3 linked regions of the Sus scrofa genome follow. The protein of the gene in region 1 purifies or fractionates together with the protein of each later gene. This does not show direct contact. Links are inferred from orthologs where the notes say so. Each region holds a gene or a part of one and is shown in the gene's direction. Other genes may lie near its edges. The genes, in order: EIF4A1, EIF4E and EIF4G3.

Region 1 (10,293 bases):
CCCTCTGTCTGCAGGGGAGTATGGCCTTGTGGCCTGGGTGGGGCAGTCATCTCCCTTTCATGTGCAGGGTGGGGGACGGGGCAGGAAAATCTGTGCTGGGGGTGGTGGGCGGACAATGGGATTCCTGCCTGCCAGATCTTCAAAACTTTTATATATATATATACATATATATATATATGCCATGGTCCTGCTCTGGTCAATAAAGGATCCTTTGGAGATACATAGTGGTGGTCTTCCTTTAGGGGCCGCAAAACTAGTGGATATGCTCTCAGCCTTTCCTCCAGCCAGTGCTGTTAGCTACCCTTTTTGGGTTTTGAGACTTAAGGGGCCAGTTTTCCATCCCTGGCTCACACAATGCCAACGCCACGTCCTCAAAAGAATCCTCCAGCTAGCGGAGCCAGGGCTGGAAGGAGGGGAGAGTAGGTAAACCTCAAAAATAAGGGCGCTTGAGGGGTCCTAAAGTTGGGGAAACAGGACACTTAAGGGAGCCGGCCAGGATTCCTGACAGCAACCTCAAAAGCCCCTAAGCCCACAAGTCAATTACTCCATCCCTCCTCCCTCCAGCCAGGGGAACCGTCCCAGCCGCTGGGTAATGGATCCTGACTTCAGCCCCCTGTACGCTTGGAACACCTCGGGCTTGGTGTCCGATTTATCTTTGCTGCAGGAGAGAACAAAATTGAACGTGGTCTGGTGGACACCTGTAACAGAGGGTAGCGGTAGTGGTAGTCCCGGGAGCCCGGAAGTCCCTGGAGGCTGAAACCTCGCCCCCCTTGCGTGATAGGGCCTGGTAGGCCACATGACTGAGGCACTCTCGCCTCCGCACGTGTAGGGGTGCAGGGCCCCAAGATGGCTGCCAGGCCTCGAGGCCCGACTCCAGTATGTCACTTCCGTACCGGCGAGAAAGGCGGGCCCTCTAGCCAATGAGGCTGCGGGGCGGGTCTTCACCTTGACGGGCGCTCAAGTTATCCAATGGTGGCCGCGTGCCAGGGCGCCTACGAACTAACGTCACGCCTAGTTGCCGAGCGGCGGCAGGCGGAGCTGAGGCGGCCAAGCCAATGCGATGGCTGGGGCGGGGTCGGGCGCTCTATAAGTTGTCGATAGGCGGGCACTCCGCCCTAGTTTCTAAGGATCATGTCTGCGAGTCAGGATTCCCGGTAAGCAAGACACTTGCAAGAGACTGTGGCTGCTTACCTTGCCGCCCTTTTCGAGGGCCCGGCGTGGGGAAGCTGAGGCCCGCCGCCCTAGGCCCCCCCAGGGTTGCGGGGAGACCAAGCCGGGAGGACCCGTCCGGGGAGGTGGGGGGAGTTAGGGGCGGGTCCACGGCCGACGCTGCCAGGGCCTAGGCAGAGGCCGAGGACGGCCGGGCTTTCGGGACCCAGCGAGCGAGTTTCGTTAGGAGGCCTCGACCGACGTGGTGCGTGAAGCTTGGTCGCTGAGTGGGGTGGCGAGGTCGCGACCTGTTGTGAGAAAGGAAGGTAGAGGCGGCCGTGCGTGGCGCGGAGCCGCCGGTCAGATTGTCTCACTGCGGGAGGGAGGGTTCGCGCGCGCTCGGGACTCCGGAGGATTCTGACGGTACCACTCGCCGAAGGTGGGGGTGCCTGGATCCTCAGTCGCTTGGTCGCGTGAAGCTATGGGTCGCGGGAGAAGAAGCCGGCCGTTCAGTGTGCTGGTTTTCTTGACGGCCAGGACCGACCCTAACCCCGAGGAGCGGCCGCTTGAGGCACCGGGAGCCCACCCGGCGCCGGGCGGGCGGGTCCATTTTGCCGCACAAGCCGGGCAATTGGCAAACTGCGGATGGGCAGGTCCACTTTCCTTCGGGGGTGAGCGGCCTGAGGTATGGGAGGGCGACGCCATTTCGCGACGGGGGCGGGCGGGGTGTGGATTGTTCCCCGGAGGGGAGGGGTGCGCCGCCGGGTGGTCGAGGAGGCGAGCACATGGCGGCCTGAGGTGCTCCCCTCCCCCATTCGGCTTCGCTCTTAAGTGTTGTGCAATCTCCCCCCTTGCTAGCTCGGCTGGGGCTCATTGTGCGCGAGGCCGCCACCGCCCGCGGCCTCCCACATCCGGGCACCGCGAGGCGGGGAGATGGGCTGGAGGGAGTGGGGGAGGGCGCGGGCGGCATGACGTGGGGGGGAAGGGGATGTCCTCCTCTCGCATCTGGGAGGTGGAAGGCGGGACTTCCGGCGCGCTGGGGCCACAGTGGGAGGTGCACGCGCTGGGTCTTGGAGCGGCCCGGCCCAAGACACGTGGGCCTGGCGGCCAGCACCACCTCTACGCCCCGGGCAGCGCAGCGCCGTTCCTTCCAGTCTCCGGGTCTTCTGTAGGGCAGGGTGGGGAGGCGGCTTGGCCTGAGCAGTTCCAGAGATGAGGCAAAGGCCTCGGCTGTAAAGTAACTGCTCTTGTGTTTCCGGAATTCATGGGGCTTGGATCGGGAGTGAAGACTGATGGTAGCATGCAAAGCCGCTTGCTGGGAGGAAGAGTCTGGTGGTCAGGATTTCTATGTGCTTGTATTTTAAACCAATAGATCCAGAGACAATGGCCCCGATGGGATGGAGCCCGAAGGCGTCATCGAGGTAAGGTTGGACCCCTACCGCCGTTATCCTTTGTAAGAGTATATACAACAAAAGTATGTTTTTTTTCCTCTTTATAATATAACCTCACTGTTTACAAGTAACTGGTCCCTTCAGAGTAGTTTTCTAGGCCGCATAGACCCAACCAGCTGGCTTCCTTGGGGAGGAGAAGGTGGTGGGTTCTGGAACTTTGGTGCAGGCAGAGAAGGTCCTGTTTGCTCCAGTGCAAGAGCACAGCCCCATTTCTGTTAATTCTTTTTTACTTCTTACAGAGTAACTGGAATGAGATTGTTGACAGCTTTGATGACATGAACCTCTCGGAGTCCCTCCTCCGTGGCATCTATGCCTATGGTTTTGAGAAGCCCTCTGCCATCCAGCAGCGAGCCATTCTTCCTTGTATCAAGGGTAAGGTCTTTGCCCCAGAAAAAATGTATGGGCTGTCCCTGGCCTGGGTAGAGTGGCATCTGGTTGGTGGTGCCTGTCTCATATCAGCCAGGGACAAAGCAACTCCTTGTTTATCCCAGCTTGGCTTTTGGTTTGTGCCTATGCCTGGTTCATGCCCTGGACACATGGATTGTTGGCTTCATTTAAGTCAGGCTCTTGTTTTTAGGCAGATTATAATTTTACACCTGTATTTGTAGCCCAGCTTTGGGGTGCCATGCTAAATGAGTTGTTGCCTTCACCTGGCTTCCAGGTCTGCCTTGGTACTGTGTTGTGGTATCAAGTCTGTGAAGCACTTACTGTTTGGCACATATACGGACCCTTCTGTGGGTTATTTTTCAGTGTCCCATGATTCCAAAGAATATTTCCTGCCATTAAATTTCTCTCTCATTTTGTCACTTTAGGTTATGATGTGATCGCTCAAGCCCAATCTGGGACTGGGAAAACTGCCACTTTCGCCATATCAATTCTGCAGCAGATTGAATTGGATCTAAAGGCCACCCAGGCCTTGGTCCTGGCACCCACTAGAGAGTTGGCTCAGCAGGTGAGATTTTACCTCTCCCCAAAGGACTCATTTAGAAATGAATAATAAAACCCAAAAATCAGAAGTATGTGCCCCGACTACCACCACCTTGGAAGAACTGACGTATAGAGAATGAAAGAGATGAAACAAAGTCAGTTGATAACTTGTAGATCTTTTGGGATTTATTAGGTTAATTATAAACCTTAACCAAGCACAGTAAGCATCCTTTACTCCACCCGTTTCCTGAGTCAGATGTGAAGGCTGCTGGGTGGAATGTGACTGGCTGGGCAAGTTTGGCTCTTCTATGACCAAAACCCCCTGGCAATGGGCAAAGAGACACCTGATTGGTGGTGTTGTTCTTATATCAGTCATGGGAAAAGCAGATGTGTATATAGTCCTCTGTTCATCCTAGCTTGATGCCTGGGTTGGTGGCCAGAGCTGTTTCATGCCTAGGACACATGGAATGAACTGTTTTCCTGGGTCTTAGAGGAAAAGGATCAGAGACACCTGTCTCATAAATTGACTGTTTTCTTGCCTATGAAGTGAGTGTTTAATAGTGCTTGAGTTGTTGGGAAAAATAAATTCATAAGCATTTTTTCCCCCCTGGGGCCACACCTGTGGCATACGGGGAGGTTCCCAGGCTAGGGTTCCAATTGGAGTTGTAACTGTCGGCCTACACCAGAGCCATGGTAACATTGGATCCAAGCTGCCTCTGCTGCCTATACCACAGCCCACGGCAATGCAGGATCCTTAACCCACTGAGCAGGGCCAGGGATCGAACCCACAACCTTATGGTTCCTAGCCAGATTTGTTAATCACTGAGGCACGACAGGAACTCCAGTACATAAGCATTTATGAGATGGAGCCTGGTGACTATAGCTAACACAGCATTTTATCTTTTCAGATACAGAAGGTGGTTATGGCATTAGGAGATTACATGGGTGCTTCCTGCCATGCCTGCATTGGTGGTACCAATGTGCGTGCTGAGGTGCAGAAGCTACAGATGGAAGCTCCCCACATCATCGTGGGTACCCCAGGCCGTGTGTTTGATATGCTTAACAGGAGATACTTGTGTGAGTGTCTCAATTTTCCAGGTCTCTGGGTCACTTCCTTAAGCATGTTTTCCCAGTTTTTTTTTTTTTTTTTTTAAGCATTGCTCTGTGATGAACCCCATGCGTGTCATCTGAGCCTGGCTTCCCTGTCAGCTCAGCCCAGGTAGTGTTCTACTTCTCAGGGCTGTTGTCTGGCCTTGCAAGGGGCTCACAGGCAAAGGATCAATCTTTGTATTCTGAGAGCAGACCACCTATCTCCTATTCTTTATCTGGGAAGAAGTGAAAGTATATCTTACCTTTTTTAAATACCTGTTGGTGTGTGTGTGTTTTTTTTTCTTTTGTTAGCTCCCAAATACATCAAGATGTTTGTATTGGATGAAGCTGATGAGATGTTAAGCCGAGGGTTCAAGGACCAGATCTATGACATATTCCAAAAGCTCAATAGCAACACCCAGGTGAGAAGAACATTGGGGTTTTGCTCGTGTGAGTGGTGATTCCTTTGTACGGATGGTAGTGTTCTCGGGGTGAGAGACCATTACAAAGTGCCAGACAAACCATAAAGCTCTGGAGGACCTGCTACCTCCCCTGAGACTGTTGTCCCCATTAGGTGGTTTTGCTGTCAGCTACAATGCCTTCTGATGTGCTGGAAGTGACCAAGAAGTTCATGCGGGACCCAATTCGAATCCTTGTCAAGAAGGAAGAGCTGACCCTGGAGGGTATTCGCCAATTCTACATCAATGTGGAACGCGAGGTGGGGCCCAGTGCAGGAGGCGGGCCTGGCAGGAAGGCGGGGGGATAGCCCCTGACTGATTTCTCCCCCACCCCCAGGAGTGGAAGCTGGACACCCTGTGTGACTTGTACGAAACCCTGACCATCACCCAGGCAGTCATCTTCATCAACACCCGAAGGAAGGTCGACTGGCTCACGGAGAAGATGCACGCCCGAGACTTCACCGTCTCTGCTATGGTGAGCGCCCGCCGCCACCGCTGCGGCCGTGGTTTCCCAGCAAGAGGGGGGCTGTCACAGGCCTACTTCCCCAGCCAGTTCTCGCTGAACCAGCACACCTACCTGCTAACAGCCGCCTTCTGTTTCCTGTTGTAGCACGGGGACATGGACCAGAAAGAACGCGACGTCATCATGAGGGAGTTCCGCTCGGGCTCCAGCAGAGTGTTGATTACCACGGATCTGCTGGTGAGTAGAAGCTGAGTAGAAGCGAGTGTGAGAAGACTGGGGACCAAGGGCGGATCCAAGGTGATTCCCTCTCCAAGGGGCCTGCTTGTGCCCCTCTTCTGGAAAGTAGCAGCTTGGAATAACATCTGGCAGGCCTGAGGCTCTGGCGGCGAGGGGCTGTAAACATCCTCTGCCTGCCTTGGGCTGCCCACACACACGCCTCTCCTGGACAGACTCCTCCCTCTCCCTGGAGTCACCCACTGAAGCCGCCTTCTCTCCCACACAGGCCAGAGGCATCGACGTGCAGCAGGTTTCCTTAGTCATCAACTATGACCTTCCCACCAACAGGGAAAACTACATCCACAGGTAAAGACACCTGCCAGGCTGCCCCCCCCCGCCCAGTCCTCCCTGCACAGCAGCGCCCCGGTCTTCCCCATCTTCCTCATACTCTAACTTGTTTCCCAGGATCGGTCGTGGCGGACGTTTTGGCCGTAAGGGTGTGGCTATTAACATGGTGACAGAAGAAGACAAGAGGACTCTCCGGGACATTGAGACCTTCTACAACACCTCCATCGAGGAGATGCCCCTCAATGTTGCTGACCTCATCTGAGGCGCTGCTCTGCTCTCCCAGCCCCAGCCAGGGATCCGACCTGTCCTTGAGGGGGGCTGAGGAACAGCAGCAGGGGGGAGGGAAGGGAGCCAAGGGATGGACATCTTGTCATTTTTTTCTTTTTTTTTTTTTTTCTTTGAATAAATGTCACTTTTTGAGGCAAAAGAAGGAACCATGACCATTTTAGACACCCTTTTCTTTGGGGCAGGCTCTTGCCCCAGGCGCCGGCTCTTCTCCCAGAAACACTAATCCATTTCCCTAACCTCGTCAACTTTCAAACCCAAGGCTCTCCCCACCCCAGCTGAATTCTGAAAATAATTCAGTGGGGGCTGTAATGCCCCTCCACCTCATTTGCTGGACCAAATCTGGAGGGAGAGCCCGAGTTAAGTGGCCCAGGGCACTGTCCCCAGGTGGGGGGGGAGCAGGGGAAAGAACATGGTAGCCATTTTTACATTGTTTTTGTATAGTATTTATTGATGCAGGAAAACAAACACAAAATTCTGAATAAAATAACTTGGAAACTGCTTTGGCTTCTCATTTCTTACCTCTCCTTCCCCTACCCCGCTACTGGGTAGGTACAGCTCTGCTCCCCTGCTGAACTGGGTAACCGGTAACATGACTCTTAGGAAGGGGCTGGGCCAGCACAGTCATAAGCAGCTCACATGTCTCTAGGCAAAGAGGAAGTGATCTGAGCCCAGAGAAAGGGGAAATCAAAGTTGTGATCTTTACACCCCGTTGAGCTTGGGGGGTGGGGGGCTGTGGCTGCAGGCTCTGGTCCTTTGATCACCTGCAACCCCTGAGCATATTTTCCTGAGGTGGACAAGAGTCTCCCAGGATCGACTACCCCAAACTCCCTTCTCACGTAACACAGTGCCCACTTTGGAAATGCCAGGGCTAATCACTAGGTGACACAAATTTGATGACTCAGGAGATTAGTGGCTGGAGCTGAGGTGCCTGAGTCAAGTTGGGGGCGGGGCTACCAGTTAACAGGAAGTCAGATTTATTTCCTTTTCCCAAAAGGCTGAGGGATTAGGATTGAGAGAGCAGGCAGCTGGGACCCACACAGAACTTAGCTGGATTCTGAGTGCAGGCTGTTCTGACATGACGTTGGCTGTGCTCTTCTTAGGGGCCCTGCTGGGACTCCTCGCAGGTAAGGCGAAGGCGGCTGGGGGTGGGGGGTGCCCAGGGAGAAGCCTGCCCCTGGGTTGCCAACCAGTTCTTTCCTCTGCTGAAAGCCCAGGGAGCTGGGGTCGACTCTCCTCATAAAAAATCAGCCACTCTGCTGCCATCCTTCACGGTGACACCTACGGCTACAGAAAGCACCACCAGCCACAGAACCACCACTCCAAGAACCACCACCACAGGCACCACCAGCCATGGGCCCACAACAGTCACTCACAATCCTGCTACCACCACCAGTCACGGAAATGCCACAGTTCATCCAACAAGCAGCAGCACTGCCACCAGCCCAGGATCCTCCACCAGATCCCCCCACCCAGGGCCACCTCCACCCTCTCCAAGTCCTAGCCCGGGCTCCCAGGAGGCCATAGGAGACTACACTTGGACGAACGGCTCCCAGCCCTGCGTCCAGCTCCAAGCCCAGATTCAGATTCGAGTTCTGTACCCAACCCAGGGTGGAGGAGAGGTGAGGACAGGCGGGGAAGGGCACGCAGCCTGCTGCCCTGGTTCAGAAGGGGAGGAGTAGAGGGGGCCAAACCCAGCGTGAAGACCAAAGGAACAAGGAAGGAAGCTTGACTGGCGCAGCTGTGCAGTCTTGTGACCCTCTCATCTTTAACTTCTGCAGGCCTGGGGCATCTCTGTACTGAACCCCAACAAAACCAAGGCCCTGGGGGGCTGTGAGGGTGCCCATCCCCACGTGCGCCTCTCATTCCCCTACGGACAGCTCACCTTTGGATTCAAGCAGGTACTCAACCCTCATCCCTCGCTCTCGGCCTCCAAGCCCCCTATGCCTCCAAACCCCTTGCCACACTCCTTAGTCTGTGTACCTGGATCTGCCGCTGCCTGAGTCTTCCTGATCACTTCCCCAGCAGCCACAGGAGAGCACTGTCTACCTGAACTACATGGCTGTGGAGTACAACGTGTCCTTCCCCCGGGCAGCGCGTGAGTTACCTTCCCCTTCTCATCATTTGCACCAGATGTCTGGGCTCCTGAAGGGACCTGAGCTGGGCTGTGGGGACATGGACGTGGAGCTGACCCTCCCCCCCCTTTTGTCTTTTGCCTTTTTCTAGGGCCACACCTGCGGCATATGAAGGTTCCCAGGTTAGGGGTCGAATTGGAGCTGTAGCCACTGGCCTATGCCAGAGCCATAGCAACGCGGGGTCCAAGCTGCGTCTTTGACCTACACCACAACTCACGGCAATGCCGGATCCTTAACCCACTGAGCAAGGCCAGGGATCAAACCCGCAACCTCATGGTTCCTAGTCGGATTCATTAACCACTGTGCCACAACGGGAACTCCTCCCCTTTCTTTTAGAGTGGACATTCTCAGTTCAGAATTCATCCCTTCGAGATCTCCAAACGCCTGTGGGCCGAAGCTACAGCTGCAGAAACGCAAGCATCATTCTTTCAACAGCTTTCCACCTCGACCTGCTCTCCCTGAAGCTACAAGCTGCTCAGCTGCCCCCCACAGGGAACTTTGGACCAAGTAATACCTAGTCCTTGACTCCCAGAATTCTCCCACTGCACTGAAATCCCCCACCCAGGCCTATCATCTCCTTCTTGCATCCCCAAACTTCCTCCCCCTCAAGCTTGTCATAGCTGGGGCACCTGTCCTCTCTAGACTCTGCCCATTCATTCTCCCCTTTTATTTCTGCTCGGAGTCATCTAGGTGAGCTTCTTACCAACCTCGCACTTCCCAACATCCCCCACATTCCTTCCCTCCTCTCTGTCCCAGCCACCACCATTGTGATGTCAACCTGCCCTTTCTTTTGTCTTTTTAGGGCCGCGCCTGCCGCATGTGGAACTTCCAGGGCTAGGGGTCAAATTGGAGCTGTAGCTGCCAGCCACAGCCACATGGGATCTGAGCCGTGTCTGCGACCTACATCACAGCTCACGGCAACACCGGATCCTTAACCCACTGAGCAAGGCCAGGGGTCAAACCTGCGTCCTCATGGATATGACTCAGATTTGTTTCTGCTGAGCCACGACGGGCACTCCCAACTTGCCCTTTCTTTCTGCCAGGTTTCTCTTGTCCCAGTGACCAAACCATCCTGCTGCCTCTCATCATTGGACTGATTTTCCTTGGCCTCCTCATCCTGGTGCTTGTTACCTTCTGCATCATCCGGAGACGCCCACCCGCCTACCAGCCTCTGTGAGCATCTGTTCCAACACCCAGGGCACCAGAGGGTGCCCTTATTTCTCCCCACTCAACTGACTCTAAGACAAAGTTTCTTCTTTCTCTGTCTTGATGAACAAAAGTAGAGATAATGCAATCGGGAGAGATGTTTATTAAATATGATTGATTTCCCTTCCCCTACTTCCAGAGAGAGAATAGTAAACCTGCTCAAATCTCTATGCTTGGTTTTCCTTGTCCTTCCTGCCAGAATGAAAAGCCATGAGTTTCTGGGCTCATGCCTTTCTGTGCCTTCCATGCTTGGATCTCAGGGAGCCAGAAACAACTGGTGAGGAGGGATGAAAATGCCACCGTGTAACCCAGTGACTTCCTGGGTCCACCCCCCAAAGCCTGGCACAGCTAGTGTCAAACCTGCCTTGGCTCCCTTCTTCCTTTTCTTCTGGGGCTGGCCCCTGGCTATACCAGTTCCCTCTCCTCCAATCCAGTGGAGCCACCCAGCCCAGCAGCCTTCTTCCCGACCCTCATCACATGCAATTAAGGTGAAGCAGGCAACAACAGCAATGAGTGAGGAGGGAAAGGTCACAGCTGGGTTCATTTCCTTTCAAAAGGCTGCACCG
Region 2 (10,935 bases), on another chromosome or scaffold:
TTGGTTTTAGAAGTCTTTCAAAGAGACAAAGGTATTGGAAGACTCTGCCAGAGCAAAGTAGCTGTGGTTTGGAGGAAAGAATGTTGGAGCCAAGAAAACTGTTTGGAGTTCCCATCCTGGCTCAGTGGTTAACACATCTGACTAGCATCCATGAGAATGCAGGTTCGACCCCTGGCCTCACTCAGTGAGTTAAGGACCTGGCGTTGCTGTGAGCTGTGGTGTAGGCTGGTAGCTACAGCTCCGATTTGAGCCCTAGCTTGGGAACTTCCATATGCTGCAGGGGCGGCCCTAAAAAGCAAAAAAAAAGAAAGAAAGAAAAAAAAAAAAGAAAACCAGGTTTGAATTCTGACTCACCAATGCCTGTGTGGACTTGCTTGTGTTCCCTAACTTTACTGAGTCTGTTTCTTTATAAGATGGGGGTGATAATGTTTAATTCATGTATTTGTAATAAAGATAAATGAATTAATTGATGTGAAAAATACTCAGTATAGGAGTTCCCGTCATGGCGCAGTGGTTAATGAATCCAACTAGGAACCATGAGGTTGCGGGTTTGAGCCTTGGCCTTGCTCAGTGGGTTAAGGATCCGGCATTGGCGTGAGCTGTGGTGTAGGTTGCAGACGCGGCTCGGATCCTGAGTTGCTATGGCTCTGACGTAGGCCAGTGGCTACAGCTCCAATTCGACCCCTAGCCTGGGAACCTCCATATGCCGCGGGAGTGGCCCAAGAAAAGGTAAATAAAAAACCAAAAAACTCAGTATGTTATAAGAAATCAATAAACGTTAGTTGATTCTGAAAGCTTGGAATATCCTTAAAGAGAATGGGCAGGGTTGGTTCTCTGCATAAAAGATTTCTTAAGCATATTACGCTACAAAAAGTAGAAATAAGAAATTTATGTTAATATAATATTACATCATGGTAGTTATAGTTAACATTGAGTACTTACTGTGTTCTAAGAACTATTCTAAGCATGGATTAACTCATTTCTCACACTAACTATACAAGATAAGTACTATTATTGTGCCCATCCAGCTCATGACAAAAATGAGAGACAAAGAGACTAAATAATCTGTGTGGTCTTACAGCAAACGGTAGAATTGAGATTGTGAACGATAACTTGACATCAGAACTAATGCTCTCAAATAGTAAACTATGTAATTGTTTTGTTTTGTTTTTGGTTTTGTTTTGGGCTTGCCTGTGGCATGTAGATGTTCCTGGGCCAAGGATCGAAGAACAACCTGGGCTGCTGTAGTAACAATGCTGGATACTTAACCCACTGTGCCACAAGGCAACTCCTATATAATCGTAATTGAAAAGATTACTTATACTGTTAGAAGCCATCATTTTAGGGCTTTCTTAAAGGAACATCACTGTAGAAAATAACAGTAACAATTAAAAAAATAGAGTATAAAGTATAACCAGGTTTAAAAGAGAATGAAAAAGGTTTATAAGAAGTTAATGTTAACTAGAGGCAGTTTAGATTATATCTAAAGTTAATATGCAGCATTAAATATTAAGGATCATTTATTATACAATTTCATGTCATCATGCTCAAAGCCTATTCATTTTAAGAAAAAGGATTGCTTACTACTAGTCAGAGACTGATAGAGGCATCTAAATTAACAGAATGTCTAAAATTACAAGGCCTGTTTAAAAAAAAATCTTAGGCAGGGGACACAGCCAATGAAAGAAAGAAAAGAAAAATCCTAGACAGGGTAGCAGTGATATTTTTGAGGGATCGACTGATCATAGCAAATGTAATTAGTTTGAACCATAGTTGAACAATGCCCAGCAAAACAATGACTTTGGTTATCTAGAAAACCTAAATAAAATACATGATAAAAATGATGTGATGTTTTTATTATGCATTCTATTACATTATTTAACGTCTTTTTACCGTGAGTTAAAATCTATAGACTAGTAATAAAGCAGCCTCAGGAAAATATGTAGAGAAAAGATAATGACTATTTTTACATTCTTAAATGATGACCAATAATTTAGGCTTATAAATAATTGTTACCATGATATTACACTGGGCTATTAGTTATGTATTAACTAGATAATGAGATCAAGTAGAATAGTATCTCAATACCATTTCCCACTTAAAAAAATCTTTTTATTCTCTTTTCTTTAAATGCAAACACAAATATGGTAGTAATGTAACAAATGTACATTTGTAGATTAATATAGTATAAATTTTCTTCTCTGTACATTTCAGATTGGCCAAAACAAAACCATAGACACACATAGATTAAAAACTTAATCACCAAGTCTTTGACATGGTGGAATCTAATAGTGATGTTAAGCAAGGACACATGAATATGCCACAAAACACATGCAACAAAATACATACAAAATGAGAGAAATTAAGCTCTGAAGAATAGGTGCATATATATGCACCATAGAAGTACTAGGATGATTACCAAAAGTGAAGAGTGTTTTGATCAAGAGAGTTAATAAAATGGGAGCTATCATTAAAGTTTGAGAATATCAGTGGTTTTCAGTCCCATATAGAGATTGAAGTGTTTTTAAATTTTAAATCTGTTATCTAGCAGCATTGGGAAAATAATACATCTATATTATCTCCTCAAAGATATTGAGATACTACTTTTTTTTTTTTTAGGATGGCACCCACAGCATATGGAGATTCCCAGGCCAGGGGTCCACCTGGAGCTACAGCTGCCGGCTTACACCACAGCCATAGCAACATCAGATCCAAGCCGAGTCTGCAACCTACACCACAGCTCACAGCACGGCCAGATCCTTAACCCACTGAGTGGGGCCAGGGATGGAACTGACAACCTCATGGTTCCTAGTCGGTTTCACTTCCACTGCGCCACAACAGGAACTCCCATCAGATACTACTTTTAACTAACAGAAGATATCACTGGGATTGCCTATAATTACTTTGGATAGTTTAATTAAGAGCACATAGTCTCTGCAAATAGAAACCTCTTTATCCAATTTGTTTTATTTTATTTTTTAGAACTCTATTACTTTAAACCTACTAGAGCTAAGCTGACTGGACCAAAGCTTTCATTAATCATCTCTGACATCCAGGTAAACCAAAGCATATGAGCAGGAAATGGTTTTGAGCTCTTATTACAGTCTCAATTATGTGTTAGTCAACTCAAGCAACCATTATGTACTCAATAATAGGTATGACACAGCTCTGGACATCAGCAGCACTAAAGCAGGCAGGCACAGGTAGCCTGATTATACTGATTTTTCTGGTGTTAACATTCTTAAGAAGCATGGGAAATAGTAATGATATAATATCTTCCTCATTAAAATCTTGCAGTAGCACTCTGCTAGATTTCTTCTGTTTTTTTATATGGATAACCAGACTGTGCAGAGTAAGACTGTCTTCAGAAATGACAGCACAAGCAAAAAAAAGAAAAAAAGAAAGAAATGACAGCACAGTATCTTAGCGGGGAAGAAAACGTCGGATGTCACTCTGGGGATAAACCTCTAATTGCCAGTGATTATAACAATATTTTCCTAAACATTAAAGCCTCTATGGAGGGTAGCTAGTTATAAAAACATTGTCTCGAAACTTTTAAAATTGCATTGGTGTACATGATAATGTAACAACATAAGCAAAAGAAAAATTTAAAACATTGTTTAAAGAACAGTAAGGGAAGCAGCTGATCCTTACGAAGGCACGAGGTTGCTTATTATGAAGCATTTATAGAGTCTGATGCATTTTCAAAGCTGGTTACAATCATTACCACAGCATACCCTTGTGAGGTAAGTGTATTACCATCTGTGGTTCATAAATGAAAAAGCTGAGGCACTGAATGATTAAGTCACTTGCCTAAGGAGAATGAGTCAACGTCAAGAGTCATAGTTGACCCAGCCTAACGACTCCTGACGGTCAGTCCAGGGCTTAGTCAGCGGGGGCCGGAGTGGCTTCCCTGGCTGGCACCTGGACTTGGGCTATTTCCCTTCACGTCGAAGCAGAACAGTGCAATCGAGAGGACAGAACTTCAGATAATTTTTACTTCCACGCAAGATTTAGCCCTGAGATTTTAATCTCAGGAGTTGGAACACGAAAAGCTGTCGGGTGCACTCCCCCTCCCCCGAACTGTGGCAAGTGGTTACTGTGGGCGGTTCCGCCACTCCCTTTCGCAGTGATGGCAATGAGTGACCACCAGCGTTAGCGGAGCCGGGGGACGGGGGAGGGTTGATTGCTTAACGATTTTCCCTCGCCGCCTCTTTTTGGAACTAAGAGAAAATGGTGGGAAGTCAAAAGAAAATTAAATAAACACACAGGCAACTTGTCCTAGGACCTCAACTAAGCAAATGAAGCCTTATTGTGCGTGTTGAGCCTACAGTTCCCAACCTTCCGAGGAAGATGGGAGGACAGGGCGACAAAGGGCACAGGAGGCATGCCTGGCAGTGAGTGCGACAGCAACTACCCAGGCGGAAGAGCAGAGGACTGAAAGCCACCCTCCAGCACGCGAGTGTCCGCTGCGCCGAGAACCGCGCACGGTACCCACCGGCCACGTGACCAGTCTTTTTTTTTTTTTTTTTTTTAAACTTCCTAGCCTAAAAAAAAGAGACAGGGAGAGCGAGCCACCGAGAGAGCGACTCCACTTCCCAGAAGCCTCTTGTTAAACACGCAGCTGCAGTCTTGCGCAGGCGCCGCCAGGGCCAAACGGACACGTCCGTCACGTGAACAGTAGCCGGCCAATCCGGTTTGAATCTCATTTTTTTCCTCTCACCCCCTCCCTTCAGGAGCGGTTGTGCGATCAGATCGATCTAAGATGGCGACTGTGGAACCGGTGAGTATTGCCTTTGGCCCCCACCCCCACCGGTCCCCGCGCTCCGTCTCCTTTCGGACTGAAGGATCCCGCGGGACGGCGTTCCCAGCGCGCACGCTACCCCTTGCCGCCCCCTCCCCCTCTTCTTTGGCCTGACCTCCCTGCGGACAATTGGGGGCGCCCCGGAGGCTGGCCGCCACGGCGTGTAGAGCACACGTTCTGGTGGGGGCCCGCGAGCTAGGGGAGAGATGTGGGGGAGGGGCGGCGCGGCTCCCCCTGTGGAGCCGCAAGGTGTCTATAAGGGTGGTGCGTGATCCGGCCTCTGGGCGAGGTGTGTGGGAATCGTGCCTTTGCGATGGGAAGGCGCGGGCCCGGCTCCGAACGAGCGCCAGGATTCGCAGGGACGGTGGGCGGCGAGCCGGCCTGGAATGAGATGGAGGAGGGAGCCTCGGAGCAGCCTTTCCCTCTCTCCCTCCCGAGCTCTGGCTCAGGGGCTTGGGTTCCGGGCGCGCGCCGGGATTTCTTAGACCGGTGGGCCAGGGAGCCGGTGAGCGCGCGGTGCCACGGGGTGGGTTGGGCGGGAGTGGTGCCGCGGCACGCGCGGAGAAGGTTCTTCCTCGCCGAGGGGAGCCGAGAGGGGCGAGCGCATGTTACTCCAGCATGTCCGAGAGTTGTCGGGGTTGGCGACCCGGGAGGCGAGAAAGGTTTCGGGGTGGGGAGGAGAACCCTTGGTGGCGCGGTAAAGCTCTGAGAGTAGGGTGAAGGGTGCTGGTGGTTGGAAGGGGGATCACATTGTCCTCGCCCCTCCATGCTTGAGCCTGGGCTGTCATGGAGGAGGGAAGGGGGAGGAGCGAGGCCTGCTGATAGCTGCTGGGGCTGGTCGGCTTGCCGGCCGGACCTGCGGCATTTCACACGCGCCTGTCTTCCATTCATTCATCCTTTCCGCGCTGTGCGCACGCCTCAGAGAGTGCGAATGGGTGTAGATCCATCTGTTCTTCCGCGGCTTTATCCTCTGGAAGAGTTCTCAGACACTGTTTAACTTAACTTTTAAAGTTAGGTTTCTGTTTGATTTTTTTTCTTTATCCGTTCTCCTGGCTTTCTTCCCAGTTCAGGCACCATCTTAAACTTATTTTAAGCAGGCTGATCCCAGAGCACAAAGTTGATAGTTACCGCCCAAAGGAGAGAGTATGTTTGTCATAGTTTGGGTTTGCCGGCACTGACTCACGGAAACTTCTAGGCCTGTGTTGCCGTTTTAGGAATGTCACATACAAGTGATTCTGTTTTAGAGGTGTGTAGCCAGAAAACGTTTGATACTCTGGAACTGTACTAGACCTTGGTTGCCCGATAATTTTGTGAATCTTTAATGGTAGTTCGTGATTTTGATGATGGCGTCCCAATTTGCTTTGACTTTTCTTTGAAGACTTTTATAATTAAAAAAAAAAACTAGTTATAAAAAGATCTATAGGATACAAAAATGCTTATTTTTCAGTTACATTGATGTTAATTATCCTTTCCTTGTTGCCCGAATTTAAGGCAGTTTTTCTGCTTGGTCATTTGTACTTATATTTATTATTTATTCATTTGTTTATTTATTTATTTTTGAAAATTGTATGTATGGCCGCACTCGAGGCATATGGAAGTTCCCAGGCCAGGGGTTGAATCCGAGCCACAGCTGGACCTAAGATGCAGTTGCGGCTACGCCTACGCTGGATCCTTTAACCGGGATCCTTTAACCCACTGTTTCGGGCTGGGCATTGAACCTGCATCTCCGCAGCAATCCCAGCCACTGCATTGGGATTCTTAACCTACTTTGTCACAAGTGGGAACTCCCTTGTATTTTTATTGGTACCGATTTTTATTTATATTCCTGAAAATTAGATGGACTACAAAACTCTTAAGTTGCTGGTACAGTTAACTGGTTTTTAGAACATTAATGTTAAATAGATAAAAGATATATTTGTAAAATTTTAGTTAAGTCCCTTTTAATGAGTTGTGACATCTATTTCTAACTGGACGAACTCTCCTACCTATTGTACCAGCTTCAATAAAAAGCATTGCAGCTGGTAATAGGGGCAAGGCTAAAACCTCTAAACAATAAAACAATAATGTATTCTGTGCAGTTTCAGTAACATTTAGGTAATTTGGGTTTTGCAAAGCTATGCTGTTTTGGTTCAACAGCAGAGAACAGAACTACAAAGTGTTGAAGAACTGTTTTGAGTCAGTAAATATTTATGGCCCCCTGTATGTTTAGAACCTTGTACCAAGTGTTCTTTAGGATACAAAGTTATACAAAATGTGATTATATACCTTGTTCAATGTAAACCTCTAGGAGCTTAATTTCCAGTGATCTTGTGAATGATACAGTATAGTAGTCCTTCTAGTAATGACCCCTGGGAGATTTGAATACTGAATTCAAATGTGGGGAGTGAGGAACTTAAAAACCTAGTGTTTGAATAAAATAGAAAGCCAGTTTGAAACTATAGTATTTTTAGGATTCTTGTAAAATAATTTTAAGTGTTCATTTTTAGTGAAAATGCAAAATTTTAGTACTTTTTAATGCATCCTTGTCCACAGGTTAGTCCTTTAGAATTCTATTTTTGGACGGTTTTAAATAGTGAGTTTTGTTTAATTTAATTTATTTACTTATTTTGACTGCGCCTACAGCATGTGGAATCTCCTGGGCCAGGGATCAAATCTGAGCCATGGCAGCAAACCAGGCCACAGCACTGGATCCTTAACCCCCTGCACCACAAAACAACTGAGATTTTTTTTTTTCAAGCAGCTGATTAGTGTTTGTTGCAATCGGTATCCCTGTAGAAGTCTACAGAAAACATATTTGTTCATTGCTAATGGAGTTAGCTTGTGACTTTCCTTACTTTTTGCTGGACATAATCATAAGCACCTAAGAGTCAGGTTTTTTCCTGCTTGTCCCACCTTTGTAGGCATTCAGGGAATTTTTATCGATGGAAATTATGTTAAATATCATTTTCAACTTATATTGTGTGATTCTCAAGTGTCTGTGAGATCAGTTAAATGGCTTACATGAAATGTAAAAAAATGATACAAATGAATTTATTTATGAAATAGTAATCAACTCATAGACATAGAAAACAAATTTGGATTACCAAAGGGGGAAGGAAGGGAGGAGGGGTAAATTAGGAGTTTGGGATTAGCAGGTAACACTACTATATATAAAATAGATAAACAACGAGGAACTGCTCTGTAGCACAGAGAACTATACTCAATATCTTGTAATAGCCTGTAACGAGAAAGAATCTGGAAAGTAATAAATGCACACATATATAAAACTGAATTGCTTTGTTATACACCTGAAACTAATACAGCATTGTAAATCAACTCCTTTTTTTTTTTTGCTTTTCTTTTTTTTTGCTTTTTAGGGCTGCACTCACAGCATATGAAGGTTCCTAGGCTAGGGGTCTAATCAGAGTTACAGCCACAGCAATGCCAGATCCAAGCTTGTCTGTCCAAGCTCGCGGCAACACTGTATCCTTAACCCACTGAGCAAGGCCAGGGGTTGAATCCACAACCTCATGCTTCCTAGTTGAATTTGTTTCCACAGCGCCATGATGGGAACTCCTCGACTACTTTCAAAAAAAAAATTTTTTTTTTTTTTTAAAGGGCCTCACTTGCAGCATATAAAGGTTGCCAGGCTATGGATGGAATCAGACAGAGCTGTAGCCACCGGCCTACTCCACAGCCACAGCAGCACCCGAGCCACGTCTGCAACCTACACCACAGCTCACGGCAGCACCAGATCCTTAACCACTGAGTGAAGTTAGGGATTGAACCCGAATCCTCATGGATCCTAGTTGGGTTTGTTAACCACTGAGCCACAATGGGAACTCTGTAAATCACCTACGTCAATTTTTAAAAAAGCAACACACACACACAAGAAGTGGTTTGCAGATAGTAAATGTGTTGAGAAGTTTGATCGGCAATTTAAAGGAAGTGCTGTACTTCTAAACAGGTAATATGGCAAGTTTTTTTTTTTTTTTTTTTTTCCTCTCTTTTAGGACCTCACCTGCAGCATATGGAAGTTCCCAGGCTAGAGGTTGAATCAGAGCTATAGTTGATGGCCTACACCACAGCCATAGCAATTTGGGATCTGAGCCGCATCTGCAACCTACACCACAGCTCATGGCAATGCCAAATCCTTAACCCCCTGAGCCGGGCCAGGGGTCAAACCTGCATTCTCATGGATCCTAGTGGGTGGGGCTCGTTAACTGCTGAGCCACGAAGGGGACTCCCATAATATGTCAAAATTTTGAACATTGGGATAAACAATATTCTCCTGTTATTCTTTTGGCATTTGAATGTGGTTAGGTTAAAATTAGATTTTGTGGGTAGATCAAAGTTAGACTTAATATTAGTTGGTGAAGATGGCAGGCCAACTTGCCTCCTTTGGGTCATGGTTTTTAATAGCTTTTATCTTTATGTTGCATTCTTCATTATTGGGCTTTTTTTTTTTTTTTTTTTTTTTTGACTTGTAGTTCTTTTAAAGGTAAAAGATTATGTATGGTTTCTTTAGTTAAACTTAGGGAGTAGGTGTTCATGCTGTGGCACAACAGAAACAAATCCACATAGTATCCCTGAGGATGCAAGTTCAATTCCTGGCTTTAGTGTGTTGGGGATCCACCGTTGCTGGGAGCTATGGTATAGGTCACATGTGGCTCAGAGCCCTCATTACTGTGGCTGTGGGGTAGGCTGGCAGCTGTAGCTCCCATTTGACCCCTAGCCTGGGAACTTCAATATGCTGCGAGTGTGGCCCTAAAAAGCAAAACAAAACAAAACAAAAAAACCCTGAAGTTTCTACTTGTTTTTATATTGTATGTCTCGAATTTTTTAAACTGTACATTAGTTTCATAAGTGGAATTGTACAGTCAGCTGATCTAATGTTTCCCCTTTTATCCTTTAGGAACATATTTTGTATTGCAAAGAGTTTATTAAATAAGTCTTGTAGTTCCCGTCATGGCACACTGGTGCATGAATCCGACTAGGAACCATGAGGTTGCTGGTTCGATCCCTGGCCTTGCTCAGTGGGTTAAGGATCTAGTGGCGCTGTGAGCTGTGGTGTAGGTTGCAGACTCAGCTCGGATCCCGTGTGGCTGTGGCTCTGGTGTAGGCCGGCGGCTACAGCTCCGATTTGACCCCCAGCCTGGGAACCTCCATATGCCACGGAAGCGGCCCTAGAAAAGGCAAAAAGACAAAGAAAGAAAAAAAAGTAAACAAGTCTTAAATACATATTTGACAAATGTTATATAATGCAGTGTTTTGGCCAACAAGCAGACCTTGCAAATTAATATGCATATTTTTGCATTATGAAAGAACCCAGTATATCAAAGTTCATATGTAAGTCAAACAAATTAGTTAGGTTCTGATGTTTATATTTTAAATTTCACTTCACTTTATGCTTTGAATTAATATGCCTAATTATTAGGCTTAGGTCTAAATTAGAAACAGATGTAATTTACACACCAAAGTTGGAGAGAATAAAATGTTAACTGGCCAATTTGGGCAGAAAATTCTATGCAGAGTTTTAAAAAATTATTCTAAAAATGAAATAGAATAATTTGTATAAGTTTAAGAATATAGTAGAAGTACTAGCAGTCTTTATTGGAACAAGGAACCTGTGAAATAGTTGTACTAGCAATAGTTTTTTCTTCTTTTCCTTCTCTACTACTAATAGGAATTTCCTTGCTCTTCTTGCTCCTGTGCATTGCTCTATTGAGTCTGGTTTTTGTTTTTTTGTTTTGTTTTTTAATGCTACTCCCAATGCATATGGAAGTTCCCCAGGCCAGGGATTGACTCCAAGCCACAGTTGCAACCTGTGCTGCAGCTGTGGCAATGCTGGATCCTTGAACTCACTGTGCTGGTCCAGGAATTGAACCCTCACCTCCAAAGTGACCTGAGGTTTTGCAGTTAGATTCTTAACCCAGTGCACCACAAGTGGGAACGCCTCACTTTGTGAGAATTTTTTGAGAAGGAAATGAGTATGAGTCCTAATCTTAATTTTAATGTCTTTGTGACCTTCTAGACCAAAGTTTCTAAGTGTAGCTGAAAAATGGGAATAAGAAGTTATCTCATAGTAACTTTGATTTTCTTTTTTTTTTTAGTCTCTTTTAGGGCTGCACCTGATGCATATGGAGGTTCCC
Region 3 (10,835 bases), on another chromosome or scaffold:
ACTTTGAATCTTGTCACTTTTTAAGTGCTTTAAAGCAAGATGTAAAAAGAATGATAGGACTAATTCCAAGAAGAGACACTAAGAGAACAAGGGTGACACAGTTAAATCTCTTCAGAAATAAAGCCTGGAATTATAGACATGAGAAGCTGGCCTTAGGCAAATACAGCAAGTGGCTGGATCAGCTGGAGGAGGAGGGATGTGCCACACTGATGAAAGATGAAAAATGTTTTGAAGAAAAGATCGACGAGAAATGACTTACCCTTTTTTAACTTGACCACCTCCTTTTCAATCTTGTGGGCATCCCTCAGCGCCGTATACCTTTTCACATGTATCTGATAGAGCTGCATTTTGATAGACATGTTAGTACATACAGACTATGTTATGTTCAGTTTTAGGTGGGGATTTACTAGGGTCAGAATATAACCACCGGTAAATGGTAATATGTCACCATGGATCCATGAGTTACAGTCAGTCAATTAATTTATTGCTGTTCACTTCACATTTTAATTTGAGGGCCTCACTTGTTAATAGTATAGTAGTCATTCCAAATACTTTACCTCAGACCAGAACATTCTTTGAGCAAAATGGCTACTGGTCCACAGGTTATGGACCTTTATGTTCTGGGACAGCACTGAAAGTCCTAAACAGGCCAAGCAAGGCCAGGGCTTGTCCTTCTGTTTCTGTCTCCTATTTGACTACTGTTATATACAGCTGACAGCCCTTGATGGTTCTCAGGGAGTTTGGTCATTTTAGGAATAAGAAGTATCTACCCTCAACACTAACAAATATATTAGCAGTGCAAGTCCTGCTGCTTTAAGAAAATGACTACTTGATGCTGACAACATTCATATCAAGATTGCTGCCTGACCTCACCACAGTGTGAGAGGAACACTGTTAGTTTAAAGTGTAATGTAATGTCACGCAGTGTTTACTGTCGTGTAAAAAAGAAAAGGTGGTTGCTCTCCAACAAATCTAGCTTGCTAAGCAGTCTTAGCTATAAAATATTCCCCCTTGACTCCCTCACTTCCTGACAAGTTATCTCCCAAAAAACCCATTTGAAACATATATATAGCTTAGTTTCAATCACAGACTGCTGATAGATGAAAATTATAGTTGTCTAGAGAGATCTTTTTCTCACTGTTGCGTATCACCTTTCCTTTTTGCTATTAGCCATGATCACATCTGCAGGCATCTACCTTGTTTACTGTTATGGACTGAGTATTTGTCTCCCCCTAAATTCATAGGTTGAAGCTCTAACCCTCAGTGTGATGGTGTTACAAAATGGAGGCTTGGGGAGTAATTAGCTTTAGATAAGGTCATAAGGGTGGGACCCCAGTGGTGGAATTAGTGCCTTTATGAGAAGAGGAAGAGTCCTTAGAGCTTCCTTTCTGCCATATGCGGATAGAGGAGAAGACAAATGTCTGCAAACCAGGAGGAGAGTTCTTCTCCAAGAACCCCATCTGGCACATCGACCTTAGACTTCCAACCTCTAGAACTGTGAGAAATAAATGTCTGTTATTTAAGCCACCAGTCTTATTTTGTTATAGCAAGCCCACCCATCTAAGACACCCACTCTTCATGTTCTGTTCTAAGTAACCAATTTTACTGCGTTTCTGACCAGTCATTGTTCAGCTGACAACACATGCTGACTTAATAATGTCATACTCCTGTAGAATTTAACATCTCCTAGGAAGGAGTTCTCAGAGGATATATTCTCCCTAGCCTATTTTCATATTTCCGCAGCCCTCTTACCCATCCCCAGAAGACGTGAAGATCACGTTCCAAAACAGGTCTTTAGGGGGTGGTTTAGCTAAGCATTCGTTCCTTTAGAGACACATGTACTTGCAGATTTGTGGCCATTCAGCTGGTTGTTTGGTTTTATTTGTTTCATGTGAATATACCTAAAAAGCATATGTACAATCACATGTTCCTTATGTCCTATACATATGAAATGTCCCATGCCCATCATTTTTGCACAGCAGATACTCAGTATTCTTGCCTTTTGTGGTTCTCTTCCTAATTGCTCTGTGAACTAACTTAAATACTTTCTTTGATGTCTGCGTTATTATAATATAGGTTTCTCTCTCTCTCTCTCTCTTTTTTTTTTTTTTTTTTGTCTTTTTGCCATTTTCTTGGGCCGCTCTCACAGCACATGGAGGTTCCCAGGCTAGGGGTCTAATTGGAGTTGTAGCCACTGGCCTACGCCAGAGCCACAGCAATGCGGGATCCGAGCCATGTCTACAGTTGACACCACAGCTCACAGCAACGCCAGATCGTTAACCCACTGAGCAAGGCCAGGGATCAAACCCACAGCCTCATGGTCCCTAGTCAGATTTGTTAACCACAGCGCCATGACGGGAACTCCCACGGTTTCTCTTAATCTTTACTAATGAACATGTGAAATATAGCTCCATTCATTTATTGGACTCTTCACTATGTGCTGGCCACTATTATTTGTTTTACATAGACTATCTCAGTTAATCCTTCACACAGTCCTAAGAGATAGATGTTATCCTCATTTTAGAAAGAAAAGGTTTGGTAAAGCTAAGTAATTTGGCGAAAGTCACATGGCAGAACTGTGATTGTGACTATCTCCCAAAGCTCCTGTTTCAACAGCTACTTTATAATGGCCCTCAATCTGTAATCATTGGAATGCCTCCTTTTGCAGATGTAGGGACTAAGGCTTAATGAGGTAACTTGCTCACATTTACATATTGATTAGTTATGGGGCTGGGATTCAAACCCTGATTTTATGGCTCAAAATTCCAGTGCTCTTTCAATTTCAGTGTTCCAAATATCTCAGGTAAACTGTGTTTTTTCAAAAGTCATCTAGAGGCACAACCAGCCCTGTAGAGGATACAATACATTTATATGACAGGGATATGTATCTTTTCTATACAAAACTTAAAACACCTTACCCATTGAAACATGCATACACCTCTTATAGAATGCAAACCTATTTCATTGGATGCTTAAAGCTGCAATCTAGGTTAGACACTGTGATTGTCTCTCCCTTGTTTTGGATGGTGCAACAAGCTTAGGTTAGAGTTGCTTTTGTTTAAAATCAAGAAAGGAAATATTGATCTTGAACCCAGCTCTTTCAACATAGCCTAATGAAACACTTAGCCCTTGGTTGATAAGAACTAGACTGGTTGAGTGGTCTTTCCTGTCTCATTGGGAACATGTTGGAGGGTGTGCCATCAGTTCTTGCACATAGACCTATCGTATCATAGTCTTCAGTTCTGAAGAAGTTTCTCCAGCCACTCAGTCTCAATCAGCAGCTGTCAAAGTCCATTCTGGTTGATAACATTAACCCCTTTATGAGTATAAATACAGTGCATCCCTTTTTTTTTTTTTTTTTACCAATTTCTTCCATTAAATCTAGGGCAGGGATGTGCATTTCAGAACTTGGGGACCTCCTTTGTGATTCTAGAAAAATATTTTGCCATCTTATATACGGTGGCTGTTCAAAATGGTACTCAAGGGACCTTGTCTGTAAAATAGAATATTTTAGCCAATCACTGCTCCAGTCCACTGTCTTTATATTCTAAATAAGAACATCTCTGTGTTTGGTTATAAGTAATCTTGAAGATATGAGCTGTTGGGAGTTACTAGAAAGCAATTATTACTGGATTTGAATGGAAAAATCATAAGCATCTTGCCTATAGGTGGCCATCCTCCATTCTGAGTCTTTCTGTTTATCAAAAGAATGTTTCTAAAGTGGGCATTTATTAGACTGAACTATTAGAGAAGTAGTGTTTTCTTTTGGCACAGAAGAAATAATCAATAAACATAGTATATTTATAGTCAAGGTAAATACTAGCATTACAGTGTTATGCCATCTCCCTTGGGAAAAGATGTCTGGAAAAAGCCTCAAATGTGTCCCCCCCTTGTGCTTTTTTTTTTTCTTTTCTTTGTCTTTTTAGGGACATATCCATGGCACATGGAGGCTCCCAGACTAGGGGTCCAATTGGAGCTGCAGCCACCAGCCTACGCCACAGCCATAGCAACGCCGGATCCAAGCTGTGTCTGTGACCTACACCACAGCTCACGGCAACACCAGATCCTTAACTCACTGAGCGAGGCCAGGGATCAAACCTGCGTCTGCATAGGTACTAGTTGGGTTCGTTAACCACTGAGCTATGACAGGAACTCCTCCCCTTTGTGCTTTTTTCCACAATAAAGATCTCACCTCCAACAGTTTTCCTAGGGTCATGAAATTCCCCCATACTTTATTTTATTTTCATTTATTCCTTTAAACCAAAGTGCCTACACTGGTAGTAAGAAAAATAAAAGTAATAACCCTTCAGTTTTAAAAAAGTCTAGAGAGTACAAATCATAGTTGTAATAATATTACATTCAAAGGCATCTAGAGGCATAATCAGCTGTAGAGGATACAGTACATTTATACAACGTTTATCTTTTCTGTATAAAACTTAAAACATCTTAACCATTGAAACATGAAATTCCTGAAGCTATATTTCATACCTCTTACAGAGTGCTTACCTGTAGTTCAGTCAGCATTATTTTGCACAATAAAGAAAATAGGTATTTTGAGAAAATCATTGAATTTCTTTAAGTAATCTTGCTGCTTTTGCGTTTTCCCATCTGGATGCAGCTGAAAGTACCCATGGCAGACAAGCCTGGTAACACAGTGAATTTCCGGAAGCTGCTACTGAACCGTTGCCAGAAGGAGTTTGAAAAAGATAAAGCTGATGATGATGTCTTCGAAAAGAAGCAGAAAGAACTCGAGGCTGCCAGTGCTGTAAGTATTTTCACAGAAAGACAGTGTTATTAAATAGATTTTTCACAAAGCTTCTTACAACATCTTCTTACTACTTCAGCAGGTGCCTGTGGCCTTTTCTTCATGTGGAAATAACTTTATTGATGTTTAGAGGCAGCTTTGTTCCTTTTAGTGCCACATGTTAGAGCAACTCAACCTTTTAAGTTAGGGATTCAGAACCTAGATTTCAGAGAGGTCACTGAATTCGAGAAATCGCCTGAAATAGGTGCAGACTTTTGGGTGTATTTCATTTTCTGAGTAGGCCTGTAGCTGCTGTCATAATCTCAGAGTGTGTCCCTGATGCCTGGAAAGGTAGAGACCATGACTCTCTATGCGTGTTTTTAGCCTTTATTTTGCATACTGTTTTTATCATCAAGATTCTGTTACTCTTCCTTATGCAACAGCCAGAGGAGAGGACAAGGCTTCATGATGAACTGGAAGAAGCTAAGGATAAAGCCCGGCGGAGATCCATTGGTAACATCAAGTTTATTGGGGAGCTCTTCAAACTGAAAATGCTGACTGAAGCCATCATGCATGACTGTGTGGTAAAGCTGCTAAAGAACCATGATGAAGAATCCCTCGAGTGCCTGTGTCGCCTACTCACCACAATTGGCAAAGACCTGGACTTTGAGAAAGCCAAGGTGAAAACCCCAAATCCCAGAAACCTCCAGCAGGGACTCTGTCAGTTGCAGAAGAAGGAGACTGTCAGCAGCAGTGTCCCTATTTCCCCCGCCGTCTCAGCCTCCTGTTTGTCTTCTTTCATCCTTCTCACTGTCAGTGTTGGGCCATCATGCTTCTACCATATCTTCAGTAAAGTCAGACGTGAAGAGGGCCCCAAATTGTGTAAAAGCCAGTTCACAAATGGTTCAGAGTATCTGTCCCTTGTCCTTTTTCTGCATGACTATCTCACATATCATTTTGTATGTATAGGTAGAGTAAGTTGGCAGAAATTCTGGAGAGAAAAGCTACTAAGGGCCAGGACCGAGAATGAGAAAGAAATGAAGAAGACCCAGTAGCTTTTTTTTTTTTGGTCTGTTTGGGGCCGCATCTGAAGTATATGGAAGTTCCCAGGCTAAGGGTCCATTCGGAGCTGTAGCTGTCAGCCTACAGCACAGCCACAGCAACATGGGATCCAAGCTTCATCTGTAACCTACACCACAGCTCATGGCAATGCCAGATCCTTAACCCACCGATTGAGGCCAGGGGTCGAACATGCATCCTCATGGGTACTAGTCACATTCATTACCACTGAGCCACAACAGGAACTCCCAGGTAGCCTTCTTAAGTTTATGCTCTAGTTAATGACAGACGTATAAAACTATAATAAATCACTAGAGTTCTCTTATGGCGCAGTGCGTTGGGAAGCTGGCATTGTCACTAGATCAGATTGGGTCACTGCTATGGCTTGGGTGTGATTCCTGGCCTGGGAACTTCCACCTGCCACAGCCAAAAAAAAGAAATCATTAAAAATAATATAATTCAAACATAACATGGTACTCCCCAAATAAGGGGTAGGGAAGTTAGAAATCCATCAAAGAAATGTCACAAATGCTTCCTAACATCAAAATCCACTAGGATTATGTTTGGCTGTGAAAGAAAACCACAAATATCAATGTTTTATATAAGATTGAGGTTTATTTTTCACTCTCGTAAATGAATTTCACAGATAAGTCTGAGGCTGGTCTGATGGCTAAATATCAGTTCCTCCAGCTTAAATTCAGTCATCCCTAAGGTGTAGCCCTTGTCCTTCCTCATCTCACAGTAGAGAATGTTGGAAAGGGGCAAAGGACATAGTCACCCCTCTCTTAAGATTCCAGGGAGGTACAGTATGACATTTCCATTTATATTCTGTTGGACCTAGAATTAGTCACATGCCCATGGCCAGGTGCCTAGAATATGTAGCCTTTATTTTGGATGCCACGTTCAATTAAAAATTCCATCACGTTGCCTTTTGACTCTAAGTTGTACTCCTAGGTCCTTTTAAAGTTCTGCATGAGGAATTTGTAGCTCAGTGGAAACAAACCTGACTAGCATCCATGAAGATGCAGGTTCATTCCCTGGCCTTGTTCAGTGGGTTAAGGATCTAGCATTGCTGTGAGCTGTGGTGTGGGTTGTAGACACGGCTCAGATCTGGCATTGCTGTGGCTGTGGCATAGGCTGGCAGCTGCAACTCTGATTCAGCCCTTAGCCTGGGAATTGCCATATGCCTCAGGTATGGCCCTAAAAAGCAAAAATAGTAATAAAATAATATTCTACATGGTAAATCTACATTCGAATTCCTCAGCCAGGAATACTAATGATTTTGCTCTTTCAGCCACGTATGGACCAATATTTTAATCAGATGGAGAAAATTGTGAAAGAAAGAAAAACCTCATCTAGGATTCGATTCATGCTTCAGGATGTGATAGACCTAAGGCTGGTAAGTAGAAAAATAAGCCTACCACTCTCGTCTCTTTTTCATAAGTTGGCTATGAGGAATGTCCTAGTAATTACATGTATAATAACTTTTTTTTTCTTTAGGACCGTACATGCGGCACGTGGAAATTCCCCGGCTAGGGGTTGAATCAGAGCTACAGCTACCAGCCACAACCACAGCCACAGTCACAGCAACATGGGATCCCAGCTGCATCTGCAACCTACACCACAGCTCACAGTAATGCCAGATCCTTAACCCACTGAGTGAGGCCAGGGGTAGAACTCACGTCATCATTGGTGCTAGTTGTATTCCTTACCCCTGAGCCACCATGGAAACTGCCTGCACACATGTGTGATAACTTAATGCTTTTGCTGCATGACTCTCAGAACTTGAGATGGCAAATTTTCATGAGAGAGCTGTGTGAGAGGACCAAGGGCATACATACCTACCTGTCTGTTACTTGTTTCTCCTTTTGTTTTTTTGTTTTTGTTTTTTTTGTCTTTTTGCTATTTCTTGGGCCGTTCCCGCAGCATATGGAGGTTCCTGGGCTAGGGGTCTAATTGGAGCTGTAGCCACCGGCCTATGCCAGAGCCACAGCAACGCGGGATCTGAGCCGCGTCTGCAACCTACACCACAGCTCACGGCAACGCCGGATCATTAACCCACTGAGCAAGGGCAGGGACCAAACCCGCAACCTCATGGTTCCTAGTCGGATTCGTTAACCACTGCGCCACGACGGGAACTCCTTGTTTCTCCTCTTTATTCTGATTATCAAACCACATTGCAGTTTTGAAATCAGCCATTCTGAATTCAAACTGTGGTCAATAAAATTAGTCTTAAAGAGCTAATCAAGGAGCCTCATCTTCACAATGAATACATTTAACTTCCCTGAGCCTTACATTTTAGTCTTTAAAAAGGGGGTGTTGTTGTTCCTGTCTTGGCGCAGCAGAAACGAATCCGACTAGGACCCATGAGGTTTCGGGTTCGATCCCTGGCCTCGCTCAGTGGGTTAAGGATTGGGTGTTGCTGTGAGCTGTGGTATAGGTCACAGACGTGGCTTGGCTCTGGTGTTGCTGTGGCTCTGGTGTAGGCCAGCGGCAACAGCTCTGATTAGACCCCTAGCCTGGGAACCTCCATATGCCGCGGGTGTGGCCCTAAAAAGACAAAAGACAAAAAAATAATAAAATGGGGATGTTGCTTACTCTGGAGATATGATATAAAGATTCAGTGAGATAATTATGTAAAGTACCCAACTCAAAAGATGTTTTCTTTTTTAATGTTTTTCTTGTATACCCTCTTGTTCTACTGCCTTTTTTTTTTTTTTTTTCTCATTTCTCATACCAGGTACGGTTTATATACCACTACCACCTCTTTTCCCTTTTCCTGTTTTAACTGCCATAGGAATGCTGCAGCTGACCCTCAGCTAGAGAAAGTGAAATTAGGTCCCACCTATTCCCTGCCCTGCACCCAGACAGACAGTATGATGATGGTTCTTTATATTGCTAAGCTGAGGTGTGACTCAGGATCCTTCTTCTTAATACCACCACTGCCAGCTGATCTGAATTTAAATGCTGATTTAAAGCTATCTGCTATTCTTGCCTCAAGCTAATATTAATAAATATTAAAAACTTCTCCACCACCACCCATGCCTTCACCCACTTGTATTTATATCAGATGTGGAGATTACAGCTGGGTAGGGAAGGAAAGGGAGAAGTATAACTATAAGGAGACAGCCTGTTTTGTCCTCAATAGAGAGGATGACTAAAGGGTAGAGGGTGTGGCACTCTGTATAGAAACCAGAACCTTCATATAGGAGGACAAAAAGTGCTAGTCATCCTTGATTTAGAACTGCAGTGGAGTTTGCTGTGAACTGAGTGGCCTTACACCAGACTAAGTCAAGGCCGAGGAATCCTGATCTTTTTTGGGGGGTGGGCCTAGGCCCTCACCCGAAGCATATGTAGATTCCCAGGCTAGGGGTCGAATTGGAGCTGTAACCACCAGCCTGTGCCACAGCCACAGCAATACCAGATCCGAGCCACATCTGTGACCAAACAACAGCTGACAGCAATACCAGATCCTTAACCCACTGAGCGAGGCCAGGGATCGAACCCGCAACCTCATGGTTCAGGTCAGATTAGTTTCTGCTGAGCCATGACGGGAGCTCCCCTGATCTTTCTTGTTTCCTCTTCCCTCTACTCCTTTCAAAAGTGCAAAATGATTTTAATACGCACACACCCAGTTGGGTCAAGTCCCTCACTCTGTGTTGTTATCCATCAGCTGTTGGAAGACTCAGTATACAGTAGCTCAGGTTGATTGAGAAAAATTGAATTCTTCATCTCTAACACCCAGACTGCACCCCATGTGCCAATGTGTAAGACGGATGAAAAACTGCCATAGTACCAGATTTTGTATGTATCTTATACTTTTCCAGCAGTGGAAAGTATAAGATAGGTTTTCAAATGTTTCCTTTTTCTTCTTAGTTATCTGGCTGATAATCTTATTTTTTCCTTTTGTAGTGTAATTGGGTATCTCGAAGAGCAGATCAAGGGCCTAAAACTATTGAACAGATTCACAAAGAGGCTAAAATAGAAGAACAAGAAGAGCAAAGGAAGGTCCAGCAGCTCATGACCAAAGAGAAGAGAAGACCAGGTGAGGGATGGAGTCCACCAGGCATTAGAGAACTTGGGAGTTTAAGAGACAGATAGATTGAACCCGCAGAATAGAGAGGCAGTTGGTAAGTGAAGCAGCTTCACCTGGAGACTGGTTAGGAGTAAAAGCAGAGAGTATAGGAACTAAACATGATTTCTTTGACCACATCAAAGGCAGTAATCAACAAGACTTTGTTGAGCATTTTCTGTATACTCAGTATTGGTGAGAGAGAGAAAAAGAAGTAGAAGATGTAGTTCCTTCCCTCTAACAGCTTCCGGTTTATCTGACAAGTCAGAACTAATAGAGGGAACGTTTCAAGCAACTGGAAGATGAATTATGAAATGTATTCTCCACTAAGGCCGTTAAATTTCAGAAGACGAGAGATAGAAAGCTGGACGAAATTCTTATTTGAGGAAGGGGCAGTTGATCCAGGTATTGGTATTTGGAAGGGAAGGAAAAATTCTAGTCATGGAATTAAAATAATAAATAAGCCTGATTAGAGTAAAATTTAAGTGTTCATAAGGAATGGAAAAATGTTTTTTCTGAAAGAATGGAACCAGCTTAGAAACTTTTGGCTTGATTTGCCATTAAAGAGCCATTTTATGTTTCTGAGCAAAGGAATAATGTTATGCTAGAGGTGTGTACATAAAACCAGTCTGTTGCTCTTCACATGATGAACCAAGGGGTAAACTGAACTCAGAAATGTTGCTGTTGCTGTTGCCTCAGATCCTGTGCGGAAGGAGGTAAGATTTAGTCATAGAAGAATAAAAAGGAAGAAAAAAACGGGAAAGATGAAATAGAAGATACTTTACACCTGAGAAAATGGAAAGTGTGTTGACTAAGTTTAGGAATGTTGAAAGAGGAAGCCTTTATCAGAGAGGAAATGATTATTTTTCTTTTAAGCCTGTTTATGTCGAGATGATGTCCAGATGGGAATGCTTGTTTTGTCTGTCGTGCAGTTAAGTGATGAGGGTCATACTCCGGTAG

The links.
Region 2: the proteins of EIF4A1 (region 1) and EIF4E purify together in Homo sapiens (affinity purification with mass spectrometry; 8 studies listed by BioGRID and IntAct, counting the BioPlex papers as one, with this or other methods). This does not show direct contact. The link is inferred for Sus scrofa from reciprocal best matches to the Homo sapiens genes EIF4A1 and EIF4E.
Region 3: the proteins of EIF4A1 (region 1) and EIF4G3 purify together in Homo sapiens (co-immunoprecipitation; 6 studies listed by BioGRID and IntAct, counting the BioPlex papers as one, with this or other methods). This does not show direct contact. The link is inferred for Sus scrofa from reciprocal best matches to the Homo sapiens genes EIF4A1 and EIF4G3.

Annotation. Positions count from the first base shown.
Region 1 is NC_010454.4:52,867,362-52,877,654, forward strand, and holds EIF4A1 (eukaryotic initiation factor 4A-I), read left to right. Parts: upstream 1-1,117; 5' UTR 1,118-1,131; coding exon 1,132-1,154; intron 1,155-1,326; exon of another isoform or gene 1,327-1,414; intron 1,415-2,521; coding exon 2,522-2,570; intron 2,571-2,839; coding exon 2,840-2,972; intron 2,973-3,412; coding exon 3,413-3,552; intron 3,553-4,435; coding exon 4,436-4,604; intron 4,605-4,928; coding exon 4,929-5,038; intron 5,039-5,190; coding exon 5,191-5,334; intron 5,335-5,411; coding exon 5,412-5,549; intron 5,550-5,684; coding exon 5,685-5,774; intron 5,775-6,039; coding exon 6,040-6,119; intron 6,120-6,218; coding exon 6,219-6,363; 3' UTR 6,364-6,575; downstream 6,576-10,293. UniProt on the Homo sapiens protein: ATP-dependent RNA helicase which is a subunit of the eIF4F complex involved in cap recognition and is required for mRNA binding to ribosome.
Region 2 is NC_010450.4:121,404,975-121,415,909, forward strand, and holds the start of EIF4E (eukaryotic translation initiation factor 4E), read left to right. Parts: upstream 1-5,011; 5' UTR 5,012-5,117; coding exon 5,118-5,309; intron 5,310-10,935. UniProt on the Homo sapiens protein: Acts in the cytoplasm to initiate and regulate protein synthesis and is required in the nucleus for export of a subset of mRNAs from the nucleus to the cytoplasm which promotes processes such as RNA capping, processing and splicing.
Region 3 is NC_010448.4:79,069,650-79,080,484, reverse strand, and holds part of EIF4G3 (eukaryotic translation initiation factor 4 gamma 3), read left to right. Parts: intron 1-4,618; coding exon 4,619-4,765; intron 4,766-5,187; coding exon 5,188-5,424; intron 5,425-7,097; coding exon 7,098-7,202; intron 7,203-9,715; coding exon 9,716-9,848; intron 9,849-10,835. UniProt on the Homo sapiens protein: Component of the protein complex eIF4F, which is involved in the recognition of the mRNA cap, ATP-dependent unwinding of 5'-terminal secondary structure and recruitment of mRNA to the ribosome. Functional homolog of EIF4G1.